5 linked regions of the Coturnix japonica genome follow. The protein of the gene in region 4 interacts with the protein of the main gene of each other region in a pairwise test. Links are inferred from orthologs where the notes say so. Each region holds a gene or a part of one and is shown on either strand. Other genes may lie near its edges.

What was found.
Region 1: the proteins of UBE2W (region 4) and RNF26 interact in a two-hybrid assay, tested with the Homo sapiens proteins (2 studies listed by BioGRID and IntAct). The link is inferred for Coturnix japonica from reciprocal best matches to the Homo sapiens genes UBE2W and RNF26.
Region 2: the proteins of UBE2W (region 4) and MARCHF5 interact in binary tests that used the Homo sapiens proteins (3 or more experiments, as listed by UniProt). The link is inferred for Coturnix japonica from reciprocal best matches to the Homo sapiens genes UBE2W and MARCHF5.
Region 3: the proteins of UBE2W (region 4) and RNF111 interact in a two-hybrid assay, tested with the Homo sapiens proteins (2 studies listed by BioGRID and IntAct). The link is inferred for Coturnix japonica from reciprocal best matches to the Homo sapiens genes UBE2W and RNF111.
Region 5: the proteins of UBE2W (region 4) and AMFR interact in a two-hybrid assay, tested with the Homo sapiens proteins (2 studies listed by BioGRID and IntAct). The link is inferred for Coturnix japonica from reciprocal best matches to the Homo sapiens genes UBE2W and AMFR.

Annotation. Positions count from the first base shown.
Region 1 is NC_029539.1:3,580,201-3,584,155, reverse strand, and holds the start of RNF26 (E3 ubiquitin-protein ligase RNF26), read left to right. Parts: upstream 1-1,139; 5' UTR 1,140-1,554; coding exon 1,555-2,952; 3' UTR 2,953-3,955. UniProt on the Homo sapiens protein: E3 ubiquitin-protein ligase that plays a key role in endosome organization by retaining vesicles in the perinuclear cloud.
Region 2 is NC_029521.1:18,091,750-18,095,969, reverse strand, and holds the start of MARCHF5 (E3 ubiquitin-protein ligase MARCH5), read left to right. Parts: upstream 1-1,418; 5' UTR 1,419-1,517; exon of another isoform or gene 1,518-1,594; 5' UTR 1,595-1,695; coding exon 1,696-1,739; intron 1,740-3,725; exon of another isoform or gene 3,726-3,740; coding exon of another isoform or gene 3,741-3,751; intron 3,752-4,220. UniProt on the Homo sapiens protein: Mitochondrial E3 ubiquitin-protein ligase that plays a crucial role in the control of mitochondrial morphology by acting as a positive regulator of mitochondrial fission and as an important regulator of immune response.
Region 3 is NC_029525.1:5,847,845-5,851,360, reverse strand, and holds part of RNF111 (E3 ubiquitin-protein ligase Arkadia), read left to right. Parts: intron 1-988; coding exon 989-1,152; intron 1,153-2,304; coding exon 2,305-2,502; intron 2,503-3,516. UniProt on the Homo sapiens protein: E3 ubiquitin-protein ligase. Required for mesoderm patterning during embryonic development. Acts as an enhancer of the transcriptional responses of the SMAD2/SMAD3 effectors, which are activated downstream of BMP.
Region 4 is NC_029517.1:106,911,488-106,914,356, forward strand, and holds the end of UBE2W (ubiquitin-conjugating enzyme E2 W), read right to left. Parts: intron 1,373-2,869; coding exon of another isoform or gene 1,281-1,372; exon of another isoform or gene 1,277-1,280; intron 1,271-1,276; coding exon 1,140-1,270; 3' UTR 1,133-1,139; exon of another isoform or gene 1,013-1,132; intron 642-1,012; 3' UTR 501-641; downstream 1-500. UniProt on the Homo sapiens protein: Accepts ubiquitin from the E1 complex and catalyzes its covalent attachment to other proteins.
Region 5 is NC_029526.1:500,538-503,651, reverse strand, and holds the end of AMFR (E3 ubiquitin-protein ligase AMFR), read left to right. Parts: intron 1-114; coding exon 115-299; intron 300-1,121; coding exon 1,122-1,269; 3' UTR 1,270-2,609; downstream 2,610-3,114. UniProt on the Homo sapiens protein: E3 ubiquitin-protein ligase that mediates the polyubiquitination of lysine and cysteine residues on target proteins, such as CD3D, CYP3A4, CFTR, INSIG1, SOAT2/ACAT2 and APOB for proteasomal degradation.

The sequences.
Region 1 (3,955 bases), on a different chromosome or scaffold from region 4:
GACACGCTGCGGTGAGCTCAGAGCTGGGAAGGCAATGATGCAGCCTCACAGCAGGGCTGGGTGCCAGCATAGCCCCGGGTATGATGCACCCACACTGTGATTCTTACACCCCAAAGGTACAAACACAGCCCTGAGTCAATGAGTGCAATGAGGTCTGAGCAGCAGGAGCCCGCCCTGCTCCAGGCAGCTGCTGTGCACAGCTGGGAGGGTGATGGTGGCATCGTGCCCACACCTCCAGCAAGTGTGGGGACAGCTGGGGGAAAGGGGGGGCTGCCAAAGAGGGGTCATACCCCACAACCCCGTATTGACCCCATAGAACCTATATGGGCCCCACAGACCCCATAGAGGCCCCACAACCCCATATGAGCCCCATAGACCCCATACAGGCCCCACAACCCCATACAGGCCCCACAACCCCATATGGGCCCCACAACCCCATACAGGCCCCACAACCCCATACAGGCCCCATAGACCCCATACAGGCCCCACAACCCCATACAGGCCCCACAACCCCATATGGGCCCCACAGATCCCATATGGGCCCCATAGACCCCATATGGGCCCCATAGACCCCATACAGGCCCCATAGACCCCATACAGGCCCCACAACCCCATATGGGCCCCATAGACCCCATACAGGCCCCACAACCCCATATGGGCCCCACAGAACCCATATAAGCCCCATAGACACCATTCCTTGCAACTCTTGGCCCTTCTGTGTGCCCCCCCCTCCTCTCCAACAGCAGCAGGGAAGGGGACACAGGTGCATGGGGCTTGCAAGGCCCCTCCCCATGGCATGGGGTGAGGAATGAATGGAGCACAGCACACCCAGCTCTGTGTCACCCCCCCCCCCCACCTACTGTGTCTTTTTTTTGCCTCCTGGTAAAGCAATAAGAAATCCAAACATTACCATAAATGCTCAAAGCATCTCGGTTCCGTCACGTGGGCACCGGCACACACCCAAAAACCCCTGAAACCAGGCAGGCAGGGAGGGAACGGACCTGAAAACAAGCAGGACAGACAGACAGATAGATAGACAGATAGACAGACACATGGCTTTGCTATGCAGTGCAAGGGGGCTGCATGGGGAAGGGGGGGGGCTACTTCAAGGGGCTGCCGCCATGTCCAGGCACTGCCCAGGGCCTTGCATGTCTTTCTTATGGATCATCTGCTCCACTTGCTCTGTCCTTCCTTAAAAAGCCTTGGGCACGATGCTGGGTGTTCCTCTGGCTGGCGTCACTGTACAGGCAGTGTCTCCTGGGGATGCCCAGCCTGGAAGCTGGCAGGAACTGCTGAACTACTCCATGGCCAAACCTTGGCCTTGGGATTATTCTGAGACCTGTACAGGATATGGAGCGAGCAGCACCGCCTTGACTAACCCTGTGTTGGACAACCAGAAAGCGCTGAGACCGGCACCAACTCATCACACTCATGACAGCTCCATGGGGGGGGGGGGCGGGCTGTTAATAGGGTGCTGGCCCTTTAAATCCGACCCAACCACCGAGTCCCCGCCCACGACAAGATGGCGGCGCCCATAGCAGTGCGGCCCAGCTGATGGCGGCCATGGAGCTGGTGCTGCTGCTGCTGCGCGGCCTACGCCTGGCGCTGGATCTTCTGCTCCTACTGCTGGATCTCAACTTCTTCCTCGTATCCTCGTTGGTCACAGCCTTAATCTGGTTATTCACCACCGCTTCCAGCCTCCCCGGAGCTGCCACAGCTGGGATATGGGCTTGTTGGAACGGGTTGTTAAATGGATTGTGTGGGTTGGTGCTGGGGGTCGTGCAGGGGGTGGGTGGGATGCTGAGGGGCTGCTGTAACGTTATGGAGGGGCTGAAGGTGTTGGGTCACCTGCTAACACACATGGGATTGAGGGGCAGGGAGATGCTGCAGAGAGGGGTGTGCAGCCTGCTGGGCTCGGGGCAGGCTGTATTGAGAGAGGCAGGGGAAGGGTTGGCCATTGGGATCAGTTTATTGGCATATCTGGTTAATAGCGTGGTTAATTTGTGTTTGCTGGGCACGCAGAATTTGTTCACGTTGCTGTTGGCTCTATGGGATGCGGTGACCAGCCCGGTGTTGCGTGTTGGTGAGTTGTTGGCTGCCTTCCTGGCACATGTTTCTAGTAGTGCTATTGCTGTATCCATCTTGCTCTGGTCTCCCTGTCAACTGGCTTTTGAGCTGCTGGTCTCCACCACCGAGCTGCTCATCGGCATCTTCTTTGTCAACGTCTATGGGTTGGCTTTGCTCGTCGCCATCATTGTGGTCAGCGCTGTTATCTTCAACCCCGGGCTGCTCCTGACGTTTCTGGGCCATGTGTTTGGCTACTTCCATACGCTGCCTGCGTATCCCCGGCTGCAGCAGGAGGTGTGGAGGCTGTACCAGCTGGCTGTCCTGATGATGGGCATGGCCATGACCTCGCAGACGTGGCGCAGGTTGGTGGACTGGAGCCTGCAGGTGACCAACTGGAGCCGAGGGGGCAGAACGATGAACAGAGAGAGCGAGAGACGAGGGGCGGCTCAGGTGCTGGGCAGGTTGATGCTGGAAGAGGACAACCATGCTGCAGCACAGCAGGACGAACAGCCAGATGCAGAGCAGGTCCCGCAGGCACATCCAGCTCTGAATCGAAGCGCTGTGTCTGGGCAGCGTCTCCAGGCATCCAGGGATGAGCCGAGCACCTCCTGGGGGAAAGCACCAAGGAGAGAGCAGCTGAATGCAACAGCTGGGGATGGAGCAGGAGCTCCGGACAACGACCCCTGGATGCTTCTGAAAGAACAAGAGGAACGTAAGAAATGCGTCATCTGTCAAGATCAAACCAAGACAGTCCTGCTTCTGCCCTGCAGGCACCTGTGCCTGTGCCAGGAGTGCACAGAAGTCCTCCTGCAGCAGGCGATCTACCAACGCAACTGCCCGCTGTGCCGCCAGATGATCCTCCAGACGCTCAACGTGTACTTGTGAACTGTGGGGGTGGGTAATACGGGTTGTTTTACAGGTGATTGAAGACGCCTCTGCCTCATGCTGGAGTGCAGGATGGCTCTTCCCAGGGCTGTCCTGAGTTGTTTCCAAAGAACTAAGGATGGTGCTGAAGGACCAAGGGGCTGTCAGAGGTGTCTGTCAGCCATGTTAAGTGTACAACTAGGCTGTAGCTCCTGCTAACAAGCACAGCAGCTGATCTCTGCAGCAGGCTGAAAGGTTGGGGTTTTTTGTTTCTGTATTTGACAACTTCTGCTTCAAGGCCTGTTGCCTTGATCTGAAACAAAGCACAGATCTGGTTCCTCCTAGCCAAAACTGATGGAAGGATAAAGGCTGTGCTGCCTTGGGAATTACTGGGACTGGTGCAAGGCAAAGGAGTGTTTTGCTACCAAGGCTTGGCCAAAAAGTTACCTGGTGGACTGCATTTGCACTCTTTCTTCCTCCTGCCATTTAAGTGGGGCAGCTCGCAGGGCAAGGATTTGCATGCCCCTTTTGCAAGGCTCTAGCAAAGCACACTTGAGCTTTTTAGGCTTTTCTACCAAAGGGCTGAGCCCAGCTCTCAGCTGGAGGACAGCAGGGTTTCTGAGGCACCTTAATGTCCCAGCCACCACGGCTTTGGTGTCCCAGTTTTCCCTTGCCATTAGGAGCCACAATGAGCACGATCTCCCTGCAGAACAGCTGACTGCAGAGCTCAGTACTGCTGCTGCTTCCACACCTATGCAAGACCAGCAAGCACAAACCGTGTTACTTGCATGAAGGGAGTTTGTTACCTGCTGCCTGGGGAACCTGAGCAGCCCTCAGGCTCCCTAAGGCTGGAGAGCATTTGCTACATCCCAGGCTGGGCTGGCAGGAAGGGGTGGCTCTTTGGGAGACAAGGGGACACCCCAATCCTTCTTGAAGCCCACTGAGACATTCCAGCTCCAGACATAAGTACTACAGACCTTGTGTGCACGGGGCAGTACCAGGACCACAGCTATGTTTGTATAGG
Region 2 (4,220 bases), on a different chromosome or scaffold from region 4:
ATTTTACTATATTTTTCTCCCACCAAAGACTCAAAACCAGACTAATTTTCCCTTAGCTACGACAGCAGGGTCAAAGGATGAAGTACATTCTGTGCAGTCTCCTTCCTGTCCTGCCTGATCCCTGCAGCTGTACAGAGCCACCAGGCTAATCCTGCTCAGCTCAAGCCAGAACTGATGTGCACCGAAGAGGGTGCACAGATGTGGAGCTGGCCCAGAAAGGTACCACTGTGTACAGCAAATAAAGTAAAAAAAAAACAGAGCAAGATACAAATTACACAAGATTCTGAGGACTGGTTACATGCAGCAAAGCTGCAGTTCTCAGATATACGTACACAACCATCATCAAAACTCGATAAGGAAGACCTAAGGCTGATCTTTACCAACCAACTTTCCTAGGACCTGGAAATGTAGTGAGCATCTCTGCAAAGAACAACACTGCTCTTTGCACAGGGAACACAGCACGATGCAGAACCTCTCCATGTGCGCCAATACCTGCACATTTGGGCTGATGGAGGAGTGGAAGAGGGCCCTAGGGAGACAAACAGCAGCAACTCTTGGGTGTTGTCCACCCCTTTGTTCCATAAAGACTTCTCAGACTCTAAAATTCCAGCTTCTTATACTGTGCTACCGTGTCTTGACTTCGGAACATACAATGGATTTTCAAAGCCCTAAAGGACTTCTCCATGCTTACGAGCGCTACCACCAGCTGCCCCACAGCTCACTCAAGGTACCAGCGGCCGCCAGGCCTTTCAGAAGGGCCGCATCCAGAGGTGCCGGGCACTTCCCTCACCGCAGCCTCTACAAGCACACACCGCGATCGCAGCAGCTCCCCAACACCGCGCGGGGCCTCGCTTCCCCCAGGGCAGAGCCTGCACCTGCCGAACGGGCGGCGGCAGCTCCCTCCCACCTCCTCGCCCGCAGCAGCGGCGCCGCTCCGTTCTCTCGGCCGCCGCCGTGAGGGAGGAGCTGCGGAGCGCAACGGCCGCTCCGTGTGAGCGAGAGCGGAGGCGCGAGGGCCCTTCCCGCCGCTCCCCGCTCAGTGACCGGAGCGGCCGTTGCCGAGGGCGCGGGGCCGGGCGCGGTGCTGACTGTCCCCCATCGGAGCCCTCCACGCGAGCGCGGCCCCTACCTGCCCCGCGCGCGGTGCCGGGCAGCAGTTAGGCGGCGGCAGCGAGAAGCGGCATAGGGAGGGAACCGGGCGAGGGGGCAGCGGAGCCTCGCGGGACCTTTAAGCCCCCGGAGGCGGCGGGACTACACTTCCCGGCGTGCCCGTCCGTCTCGACCGCCTCCCGGGCGCAGTCGCGCTGGGAAGAGGGCGGGGACGGGCGTCGCAGTCGCGCTCGGCCTTTACCTCACAGAGGCCCCGCCGCCTTTCAGCTCGGCACCGCGGCGGCTCGGGCCGCGCCGTGTGTGCGTAGCGCCCTCCGCGCGCCGCGTCCCGCCCGCCGAGGGAGGCGCGTGGCGGGGGGCGGCCTCGCTGCACGGCGCTGCTGTTATCCTGCTGTTATCCTGCTGTTATCCTGCTGTTATCCTGCTGTTATCCTGCTGTTATCCTGCTGTTATCCTGCTGTTATCCTGCTGTTATCCTGCTGTCATCCTGCTGTCTCCCTGCGTGACGCGCGGCCCCCCCCGCGCTGGGCCCCTTTGTCAGGCTGCGGGGCCTCGGCTAGGCCCGTGCCTTCCGCTGCCGTAACGATGTCGGAGCAGACGGGCCTGGCGCTGCCGCAGAGCATGGACAGGTACGGGAGGAGCGGCTCCGGGAGGCTCAGGCCGGCCGGGGGCGGTAGCGTGTCTGTGGGCTTTTGATGTCCGGGTGCTGCGGGCCGCGTTGAGCTCGGCCGTACGTCAGCGTGGAGTGCGTGGCGGGGCTGGAGCGGGGAGAACGGCGCGGTGTGCGAGGGCTGCGGGATGTAACGCGGCCATGGGAAGCGTTTGGTGCGTTCCTGAAAGCCTTGAAAGGCGAGGTGTATTTAGCCGGGCCTGGTGGGCTTTGTTACTGGTTTTGTCGGCTTTGGAGGAGTCTGTAGTTTCTTTTTTTTTTTTTTTTTAATTGCTGCTAAGAAGTCCGACCTGTAAACCCCTCTGACTTAATTCTAGGGGAGAAAAGGCATTCGCTCTTTGTAAGCTTATTTCCTCTGTTTACGTTGATTTGCACACGAAGCACTTTCACCTTGTTCTGCTGAGAATTTGAGATTCCCACTGAGGCGCATTGAGTCATCCAGGAAGCTCTTGAGACCTGCACGTATAGGCGACACAACAACCGGGCTGTTAGTGCCGGGGGTGTGACTGCCTGCTGCTTCTGAAGGTCGGAACCCATAAGGAATCTATCCTCTACTGATAAACGTATCGCACTTAAATCACAAAGAACTTGGAGGGGGAGGGGGGAAAATACAGCCTGTCGTCAGGCAGGTAATGGAGAGGCAAACTCTGGGAGGCAAGGGCAGAGCTTGCACTGCCTGGATAAGGAACTTCAGTCCAGTGTGGAAAATGACTAAAAGTCTGTTGTTGGAGGATTGAGGAAGAGGGAAAGCTTCTGATGTTTTAGAAAACCTGGGGAAGTGATGTTAAGGAGGCTAAGGGTCAGGAATTGGAAACGTTTTTGCAAGAAGTAACAGAAAGGAGATAAGTTTGTTGTTTTTTAAAGCACTACAAGGGAAGTATTCTGTTTTACTTCCTGTGAATGTCGACAATAGAGAGGAAAATGGTGAAGGATGGCAAGTGAGCAGGAGAAGATGGGAAAACTTGTGTAGAAAGGAAGAAGAATGAGGAGGATCATGAAGAATGTTGCACATCTGAAACTAATTTTCATCTTCATCCTGAAGTTTGTGGTCTTCAGGTGATGATATGTAATATTTCATTATTTTGGATTCCTAAGAAATCATTATGTTCTGAATGGCTGCCCTGCTGTCTGTAGCTATTTTAACATAACATGAGGTTCTAATTCAGTGGGAAATGTCTGAGGTGGTATTTATTTGCGGTGCAAACAGTAAATTGATGTAATTAGATGACGCTGCCTAATAAAACTGAAGCTTTTCTTTTGTGCTTGTATCAGCATTTGGGAGTGTGACACACAAGAATCTAGAATCTTTTGTGATGTCTTTACAGTTTGTTTTCTTTTAAGGTTACATGTTTTAAATGTCCTTTTTTTCTTCTTCTTCCATGTTTCTTCTGTCCTAGAACAGATTTGAAGGTCTTCCCAATATTAGCAAAGCTTACTGTTAGTGCAAAAACTGTTAAATCCAAATTGTATGTAGAAAGTAGTGAAAGAAGTCATGCGAGGTTTAGGTGAGTGTTCATTAAAAAGGAAGCTGGTTAACTAGCAGCCAAACCAGTTCACTGTTCTTCAGTTGGATATGATGGGTATATGGGGTTTGATGCATGTTTAATGTGCTTGCGAACCACAGTTTCGCAAAGCTGGAAGGATGTGTATCTGGCCCTTTCAAAAGACTTCCTAGTAAATTTGGTATAAGAGTCGGTAATCTAAAATAATTGGAAGGTGTTCCTGGCTTGCTTAGCAACAAGGACAATAGGGGAAACGTTTGAAGTACTTAGGAAGCATAGAAGAAGGTAAGAAGAAAGACTGCAGCTTTCATGAAAGCTTGTTAGACTGAATATAGAAACAGCATTGTGGGAGACAGGAAATGGAGATGGTGAGAAGGTGCAAGTATTAAGGATTTGTCTTTAATTCAGGACTCAGGACAGTACAAGTAGAAGGATCTTGGAGCAAACAAGACTTCAAAATGCAGTCAGTGTAAGTTGTCTATTACATACTGGGGTTATGGAGAGTGGTTATATTACAAAAAAACTGTCTTGTTCCTTCATCTGATGTTTCTCGGGATCATACATAACTGCTTTTATGTTGTATGTAGTGATGACCAAGAAAAACCTTTCATCTGGAGACGTAACCTGTGAATGACTCCTTTGTAGGGATTCTGAAGGGCAGAAGTTCCTTTTCATTCATGCTGTTATCATTGATGCTAATGACAGGTAGCTATTGCCCTGGGTAGCAGTAACAAGTGCATATAGAAAAGCTTATGAGTTAATGTATTATCATTTCACACAGAGCACGTACTGTTAAATCAAATTGAAATCTCATAGTGAATGATGCAGAAAACAGCTTTTCAGTGAATAAAGCTGACTGGGAGGGAAAAAGGTTTTTTTTCTGATACCAAGGTGGTATCACTGAGAATTCGCAGAATGGTGAAGTACTCCTGTATCAG
Region 3 (3,516 bases), on a different chromosome or scaffold from region 4:
AAAATGGCTTGCTAGAGAAGTGAAAGGAATACAGGCAGAATAGAAGTGTTGACTGAACTCCATGGTGATTTGTGCAGTGGGTTTTGTTTGTTTTTGTTTTAGTCATTCCCTTTTCTTCACTGCTGAGTTACTGAAGTTTGAGTATGTTGTTTTTCCAAATTGGAAAATGGAGCTATTTGGTGTGTATAGGAGAGTCGGTGGTAAATATCCTGCAGTGAAATATCACTTTCCTAATTAAAGATAGTAATCTCTTAGCTTAAACTTCAAAGCATCATTGATTTGAGCATTCGGATTGGTATGACTAAATTAAGTAGAATGTCTGCAGGAAAAAAAAAATCACCCATTTCCTTAGGAATGGTACAGGCGTAGGATTTCCTTTTCTCAGGCTGCATTTCACTTGAGCTTTGTTAAATGTTACACAAAGCTGTGTTTATTCTTAGAGGGGACAAGGGAAGTAATATTCACAAGATAAATGTCCAAAGCAATCTCTGGACCTTAAAAGTTCAGAAATGATCCTCTGAAAACACTGCCACAAATTAATACTCAGAAGGACTTAATTCTTACAGGATTTTATCATCTTTGCTCTTCTATCACCATTCATAGATCTGCTGTTTCAGACTGCATAGGGGTAGTGTAGAATTCAGAGTGTCTTATATTTCTCTAACAAAGTAGTAACATTAGGTATAGCTACTGCATGACTGATGCTGTAGGGTTTCACAGTTTGTTGTTTTTTTTGTTAATAAAATACCAGTACTTAGTTCATAGGATTACATGTTAGACACTTTCCATTAAGTTATCTGGTAAAGTCTAAAATAGTGCTTCTAAATACCCTGCCATGCCACATTCACTAGACTTGTATTTCAGCATAACCAAAATGCTTTTTTGTTATTAAAAAAGGGGGAAAAAATGAAATAGCTTCTGAAACATTGAGGAGAAAAAATAGTAAATGTAAGGTTTGAGTCAGTACTTAAGGCGATGTGTTTTTAAGGTCTCGTTCAACTCTTGGACATTCAAGATCCCAGTGGGGACAAAGCTCTAGTACTCATGCTGCACGGCCTCAAGAACAGCGGAACCGCAGCAGGATTTCCACAGTCATACAGCCACTGAGACAGAACGCTGCAGAGGTAGTGGACCTTACGGTGGATGAAGATGGTAAGTCACATTGGTCTCTGAAGTCTCTTCCTTTTTTAGGAGCGAGATGATCAGTGGAGCATTAACACTTTAACTCCCAGTGTGCTACATGATGATATGATGCAGGATATCGGTAACCAAAAGTTATAAAACCATGACAAATGGAATAGGATAGAATTCTATTAACCCTGTTGTACCATTTAGCGGAAAAACTTTGTGTAATAGTAGTCCATAAAGAACTGAGCTAGTAAAGCACGCTCTATGCTTCTGAAATTGTAATGTTCTGTGGTTTCCTACCATTAAAATCCACTAAGTTTGGCATTCAAGCTTAGTGATGATGATAATTGTCAGAGCAATTTCCAGGCATTATCAAAAGCTGTGGAAGAAGTCTGAATCTGATGTGGTGGTGGTGGTTGTTTAGAAGGGAGTATGTATTAACTTTTAAAAGGAACTTTCATTTGTGACAGTTCCCTCTCTGAGTGTGTCAGAAGCCAGTGTCTTGCAACACGTATTTTTACTAGAAAAAAAGTGATCATCTTACTACGTCTTCTATTCTTAGGCATGTCATTACTCTGTCAGTAATAAGAAATTTCAAATATAGTCAAAAGCAGATTTTTTGAAACTGAATTTGAATTGCGCCTCAAAATATCTTTTAAAAAAAATGTAGCCTGTGCACAGACGTGTGGTCGAGAGCAGCATTTATCAAGTAGTGTATTTTCCCTCATCCTGTAAAATGTATTGACTGCTTAATGTGTATTGAGACTAGAAAAAAAGTTTATCTTGCTGGTGCCTGTAATACAGTGTGTCAAGAATGGCTGAAGCTTATAAGGCAGTTCAGTTAGTTTAGATGTTTTACAACCTTGCTTAGTTATCCAAAAGCTTTCCTGTGCTTTGTAGGCATTGGAAGGTGGTAAGGAGTCATAGAATAACGTAATCATAGAGTAGTTTGCCTGTTATTTATGAAAGACTTCAGGAAATATGTGAGCATATGTGCACACACAAGTTAAACAATTAACTTTTCGATTTTATACTCATTTTTATATTCTGACTTTCTCAGCACCTGGCAAGACTAGCATGTATTGTATGAATTTTAAACCTACAGATATCAATTTAAAAAAATCTTAACAACTTTGAAAGTTTACAGAACTTGAAAACTTTTCTTTTTCCTGCCAGAGCCAACAGTTGTGCCAACCACGTCAGCTAGAGTGGAGCCGCAGGTCGTGAGTTCTGCTTCCAGTAACAGTTCTAGTACGTCTACCTCAGAGCAGGCCTCTGATGCAGCTCCAAACGTCTCCACTAGCCAGCCCTCTGCAGCACCAGAGACAACTTCTAGTCTTCCCAATAGCAGCACTGCTGGTACTTCAGCTGGAGGTACAGAATAAGAGAGCTTTCTAAACTGGTTTATTACCTGCCAGGTACAAGGGCAGTAGAGGAGGTTAAACAGATAGCGGTGAAAAGTTAAGAGTGACTGTGAAAAGCGGAGAGGAAAAGAATCTGGAAAAGATGACTGATTTCATAGAAACACAGGATGTCAGCAGTTAGAAGGTACCTTGAAAGATCACCTAGTCCTGTCCTTCTGCTGGAGCAGGAACACCTAGATTGGGTCCAGGAATGCGTCCAGGCAGGTTTTGAATGTCTTCAGAGAAGGAGACCCCACAACCTGTCTGGGCACCCCATTCCAGTGTGACATTAATCTCACCATGAAGATATTTTTTCTCACATTTATGTGGAACCTTTTGTATTCCAGTCTGCACACATTGCCCCCTTGTCCTGTCATTGGATGTCACTGAGAAGAGCCTGGCTCCATCCTCCTGACACACATCCTTTACATATTTATAAACATTAATGAGGTCACCCCTCAGTCTCCTCCAAGCTACTCCCTTAATCCTCTTTGTGGGTTCTGGACTCTCTCAAGCAGTTCCTTCTTCTTGAACTGAGGGACCTAGAATGGGACACAGTATTCCAGATGTGGTCTAACCAAGGCAGTGTAGAGGGAGAGGAGAACCTTCTAGACCTACTGACTGCAGCCCTTCTAATGCACCACAGGATGCTATTGGCCTTCTTGGCCACAGGGGTGCAGTGCTGGCTTGTGGTCATCCTGCTCTCCACCAGGACCCCCCAGGTCACTTTCCTTTACCCTGCTCCTCCGACAGGTCATTCCCCAACCTATACTGGTATTTGGAATTTTTCTTTCCCAGATACAAGACTCTATGCTTGCCTTGTTAAATTTCATTAAATGTCCCCCTGTCCAACTCTCCAGACTGTCTAGGTCTTGCTGGATGGCAGCACAGCCTTCTGGCATGTCAGCCACTCCTCCCAGTTTTGTGTCATCAGCAAACTTGCTGACAGTGCACTCTATTCCCTCATCCAAGTCATTGATGAATA
Region 4 (2,869 bases):
CTGTCACACGCCGAGCTGCTGCTGCTGCCTTTCACCTCCTCCGAGCGCAGCCCCGCAGCGCTTTACCTCTCCTTGCCTCCCGTTTTCCCCTGGCCCTGACCCGCCCCCTATCGGCAGCCCGGCCCGGCCCGACGCCGCACCGGGAGCTGTTGCCTGCTCGCTGCCCGGCGGTGAGGAACGACAGGAGAACAGCTTTTGGAATTGGGTTTTACTCATCTCGCTCTGCCTCCTCGCGTGTAACAACAGCCTCGCTATAAGGCGTGACCCCTCGCCTCTCCCAGGCAGGAGTGGTGAGAGGAAGGCTGAATGTAATCAACGCGACTGATGGCAGCATCTCAGTCCACGCGGATTACGTGATGTCCGATCAAACCACGGTTCCTTGCAGCAACGCACGTGGTGAAGAGGAGGGCAGCTGCTACAGCTGATTGCCCTTATGGAGCAGCAGCCACAGGCCCCGAAGCCCCAAGCAGCAGCAGTGTCAAAACCTTGGCTTCCCAGCCAGGAGCTGCCCAGAAAGGTTGCAAAGCCCTCTGCACTCACTGCTGCTGTTGGAGGGCTTCCACCCAACAGCAACACTATGGTTCTATTACCAAAGCATCATCCCTAGAGCCATCGTTCGGGGCTTTGCTTGTCACATAGGGCTGGGCAGGGAAAAACAAAATGGAAAGCACTTTGTAATGCCATTTCTCAGCAATGAAACCTTCCTTTAGCTGAGAAATAAGTAATAACTTTATTTTTCTAAGGCATGGGTGAAATCAATTTCTGACTATCTTGAAACATCAGCTGTATCAAATAGATATTCTTTGAAACCAGCTGGAAACCACACAGGGGGTTGGGGCACCAGCTGAGAGCAAAGAACATAATGGATGGATTGAGCCCAACCAGCTTCCCAGATGCTGGGGGTATAATCACACACTAATAGTGCACCCCAAACGCGTGTTGCATAAGCCTGTGTATTAGAGGCAGTGATTTACACACCAAACACACATACTGAGGCTTAGTGACAGGATGGTGTTGTGAGTATCCAGGCGACAGCGAGGTTTTATTCACGCCAACAGAACGCTACAGTGACATAATTTGTTTAAATACACTTTGGGGAATGCAGCATTTGCTAAGGCAGCTTTATACACACCCTTGATTCAGCTGTGGTAGCTTGTCATCCTTCCCTTCTCATCCTTCCGTTGTTTAGTTTTCTGACATTCCTTACCTTGTACTTCATTTAAGAGTTGAGCTGAAGAACACAGCAGGATATTCCTTACGTACTCTTCTGCTGTAATATATCAATGGGGAATAACGCAAATACTTCTTGTGAGGCTACTACGAAAGCTTTTGCACAAAAGCAGGTCATTTAGAAGATGGGTCATGACAGATTCTGTAAGAGATGAGTCATTACTTACATTTTCTATACCTTTATGACTGAGGTTTTTTTTCCTCCTACTATAAGATACAGGATAAAAGCCAGTCAGTACCCCCCAGTAAGAACAACTTAACAGAATCATTACAAATCCTGATTTTTGACAGTATGAGGTGCATGGTTCTTGCATACATCCACTCTGCTTCATACACATACAATGAGAGTGCTGTGACTTGCCCTACACTTTGTCACCATCAAATGTGTTTTTACCCCTCAGCAGATCCCACAGGGCCCTCAAAAAAGCCCACCACACAGCAATGTACTTGACAAGAGAGGGACAGAACCACAGAAGCAGGTGCATGTTTTCAACCTATACAATAGAGCAGTAGAATTGGTTGGAAGGGATTTCTGGATTTCATCTGCTCTACAGCCTCTCAACTCCTTTTAAAGTCGGGGCGATGTTAAAGCTGGCTGTGCCTTTGAATCCAGCAGATTGCTCAGGGCCTCACTCGGTTTAGTTCTCTCAGAGTGGTCAGGCACTGGAATGGCTGCCCAGGGAGATGGTGGAGTCACCATCCCTGGCAATGTTCAAGAAGCGTCTGGATGAGGAGCTATGAGATATGGTTTAGAGGTTCTCTGTAGGTATGGTAAAGGGAGGATGGTTGGACTAGATGATCTTGTAGGTCCTTTCCAACCTTGTCATTCTATGATTCTATGAAAACACCCACGGGTGAAGATTTTAAATCCCCTTTTTGACACCTTTTCATTACAGGCTTTGACAAAATATTCATCCTTAGCTCTACTTTTAAAATGTACATTCACGAACAACGTGTGTTACACAAGTGCCTAAAACCATTATAAAACCCTGTGTAGGACACAGAATGACAGACATGAACAAACCATGGCACGACTGAGTAGTTTGCAAATACAATACACAGCTTTCTCAGCTAATGGAAACTGTTCTTCATATTCCAATAAAGACTTCTAACAACTCACTGATCCTGTCTCATGATTCACATCTAAAACGTGAGTTCCCCACAGCAGATGAACCACACAATCACTTCCAGAATCAAAAAGAATTACAACTAATGCTTGTCAGCATACATTCAATGTTCTTCATCACTTCTAATTAAATCGCACAAGTCTCAGGTCCCCCATTCCTTTATAAATATCGTTATTCGAGAACACACCACCAAGGTGAATCCAAACAAAATGATGTAATGTCTTTACAGCCACCAGCTTGCATCTAATTTTCTCCACACAAAGGTATGACAGGCAGCTCTTCATTAGTTGTCCCACTGACCCAAATCCTGATGCTTTGCATCTCCCTGAAATTATTTGTTCCTGTTGTACTCATAGACCAGCGCTGGAAATAATCAAGCCCTGCCTAAATAAATGCTTTACCCTTTTAATAACGTTAGCAAAAATTGAAAAATTACACCAGCAAATTATTTTATAGTCCGTAGCCGTAATTGCACTCAGACATTAAGAAAACTACACCATATTAATTACTCT
Region 5 (3,114 bases), on a different chromosome or scaffold from region 4:
CAGCTTGTTAGTTTGATGTGAAGAAGCCCTGGTGGCAAATTTTGCACAGACTTGAGATGTTTAACTGAAAAAGAAAACTCCCTCTTTTCCTAACTTCCCCATTTTTTCTCTTAGACCAAAAGAGTGCCACTGGAACTCAACTCAAGACTGGAAGAAATGGGAGAACTGAGCGAAGTGGAGGCAGAACCCAGTGAAGCAGAAGATTTTGAGGCCAGGGGAAGTCGCTTTTCCAAGTCAGCTGATGAGAGGCAGCGCATGTTGGTTCAGCGGAAGGAGGACTTGTTGCAGCAAGCTCGAAAGTATGTTCCTTCCTACAGCTGCAGCCTGGCCACTCGGTTTTAATCTCCCAGAATGGCTGTTACATGGATTATGACTGAAAGACTGGGGTGGTGCAAAGAGTATTAGGAGGGATGAATACATTGCTGCAACACGCTCAGGTGCTCTTTAAGACAGACCTGTGCCTCTGATAAACCCAGTTCTGAAACAGCGTCTTGTGTTGCAGCGTGCACACAGCCTCTCAATTGGTGGATCAGAGCTCATAGGGTGATTTTTCCAGCTTCAGTGAGCTTTAGATTCAGCTTCTAGTAAGTGAGGAAATACTGCTTGTGCTGAGACTCCTAGTACACTTCTAGCCAACCTGCCTGCCTGGGTGTCAGCCTGTGCTGTGTGCTGCTGCAGCTGAGCTCACTGTCGGTCACCACTTTCCAAATACAGAACAAGAGCAGGTATTGAGCTGCGTAGGGCTGACAGACCAGAAGAGCTTCTGATGAGCAGGTCAGCACTGCCAAAGTGAGCGTGGCCAACTCTTACTCCCAGCTCAACTAGTATTGAATGTAGATATGGCACTTTGCAGCCCCAGTGCCCACCTGTCAGCGCCTTCCCTGTCCTCATGGAGGGAGCTGCAGGTTCTGCCTGCACTTCAGCATGGTGCAGTGGTGGGACCCAGTCAGTAACTCACCTCAGGTCTCAGAGTCTGAGTGCATCATTAGTGTGTCCATGCAAAGTATTTTCTAGCTTTGGATGCGCTTCAGCTCCTGCCTTGTTTCCTGAAAGCACCGACTGTTTTCTGGAGCCAAACAGATTGGGCTGCTCTCACTCATCTCCCTTTTCTCCTCTTGCAGGCGTTACTTGAACAAGACCTCAGATGAAGATCTGAGCACAGAGAAGCCCTCAGTGCCCGAGGGAACCTCCGCTGACCCAGTCACGCTGCGCCGCAGGACGCTGGCAGCCGCCGCCGAGCGGAGACTGCAGATGCAGCAGAACTCATAGCGCTCACTGCTCCTCCTTCCTCCTCCTCGTGAGCAATGTTGAATAAAAGAAATGAAACACAAAACCCCTGCATTTCTATACCAGCAGGAAAGTGTCACTTCAGAGTTGAGCGCTGCCGAGTGAGCTGGCTGCCGCTCTGCTGTATAAAGCATGTGGTCTAATCATGTTTGGACAGCTGACAAATTAACCTTTTTTGTAATGTTTTCTATGTGATGTTGATCCCCTCCACAGACAAAAGCAATCTGAACCACCAGTGCGATTTCTCTTTGCACGAGGCGTTGGCCTGACTGCACAACGGAAGCTGAGGGAGATGAGTTGGAATTGAGCAGCTGTGGGTGCAGGTCGGAGGGCATGGCTGCAAGAGGGGAAGGAAGCGCAGGGGTTGGCAGCAAACCCTGTGTTAGAGGAGCAGCTGCTCCCTGCTCACCTCCCGAGTGAAGGAGCTGCGTCGGTTGGCTGCGGTGCTGCTGGGAAGCCCGTTTGTAGGCGGGTGGAAGCTGTCTGGCAACGCAACATAGGAAAAAATGGAGTTGCTAATTGTGCAGTGCTGCTCTGATTCACAGCGATGCATACAGCACTTTGCTCACCGTTGCTGGGCTCTTGGCACTTGGCCTGTAGTTCTGCTCGCTCCCCAGGGCTGCGCTATCTTCCTTTTAGAGCCAGAAAGAAGTGAGAAGCGGGGAGGAGCAGAGTGGAGAATTGGGGGGGGCACAGGGGAGGCTGCAGCCCCCAGAATTCGGTGTTAAAAAGCTGATGGAGTCCCATTGAGGAGCCCACCTGTTTTGGACTGCGGAGCAGCACGGACTTGAAGGCTGGAGCTGGCTCTGATGTCTGATATCACGCTTTCTATGTCATTTTTAACCCCACAGCTCTGCCATTAGACAGAAGCACCGGGAGGGCAGGTGACCCTTGTGCACTGTGCAGCCCCATCTGCTCACCCGGCATCTTTCTAAGGGATTTCTGACCCCACGTACACCCGGAACCAGCACTGCTAAGCTTACAGAGTGGGATTTTACACAGCTGTGACTTGTTTAATTCCTGATGAGTGAATCCTTGTTCCGCCGCCCTTTAGAAGGAGCCCAGTATTATCTAGAATCATTGGTATCTGTTTTTTACTGTCGGTCTTTAGGGAGGTTTGAAGGTGGGTTTAAGGAAAGGCCTCGATGTTTAGGTGAGAGTAATTGATTGCAGTGAACCTTTCTGGGCAGCCTTACCTTGCGATGCTGTGTGTGAACTGCCAGGGGTTTTTCTTTTGAGATGATGGGGTTTGCTCAGAACCCGGCTGTTTGGTTTTACTGTTTAAAGAAATGAAATAAAATCTTGATCAGTGTTGGAAATTGTTTGCTGAGTCCTGTGTGTTCCTGTACGATGAGAATCCAAGTGTGGCGTGAAGGGGGAGATGGAAGAGGAACAATGTGTGGGGGGACTGGAAATAAAATGGGTTTGGGGCTGTTGGAGAGCCGGCTGGGGGGATGAGAGCTGATGGGTGTGGAGCGGGCAGAGCTTGGCTGGGGGGTGCGGAATCAGAATCACAGAGTGGTTTGAGTTGGATGGGACCTTGCAGGGTCTGCTCGCACTCCCTGCACTGAGCAGGGACACCCACAGCTCCAGCAGTGCATCCCCGCGCATCCCCGTCCCGCAGCGCAGCCGTTCCTGTGCCCCGAGCAGCCGCTGGGGGGCGGCCGTGCCCGCAGCTGGGCGCTCCCGCAGAGCCCGGCCGCGGTGATCGCGTGGGCTGAATCCCACCCTGAGCGAATTACGTGGAGGTGATAGAGACAGAAATGAGCCCTTGGGGTCCTCTAACGGGACAGTAATAGGGATGAGATGGAAATTAGGGAATAATAA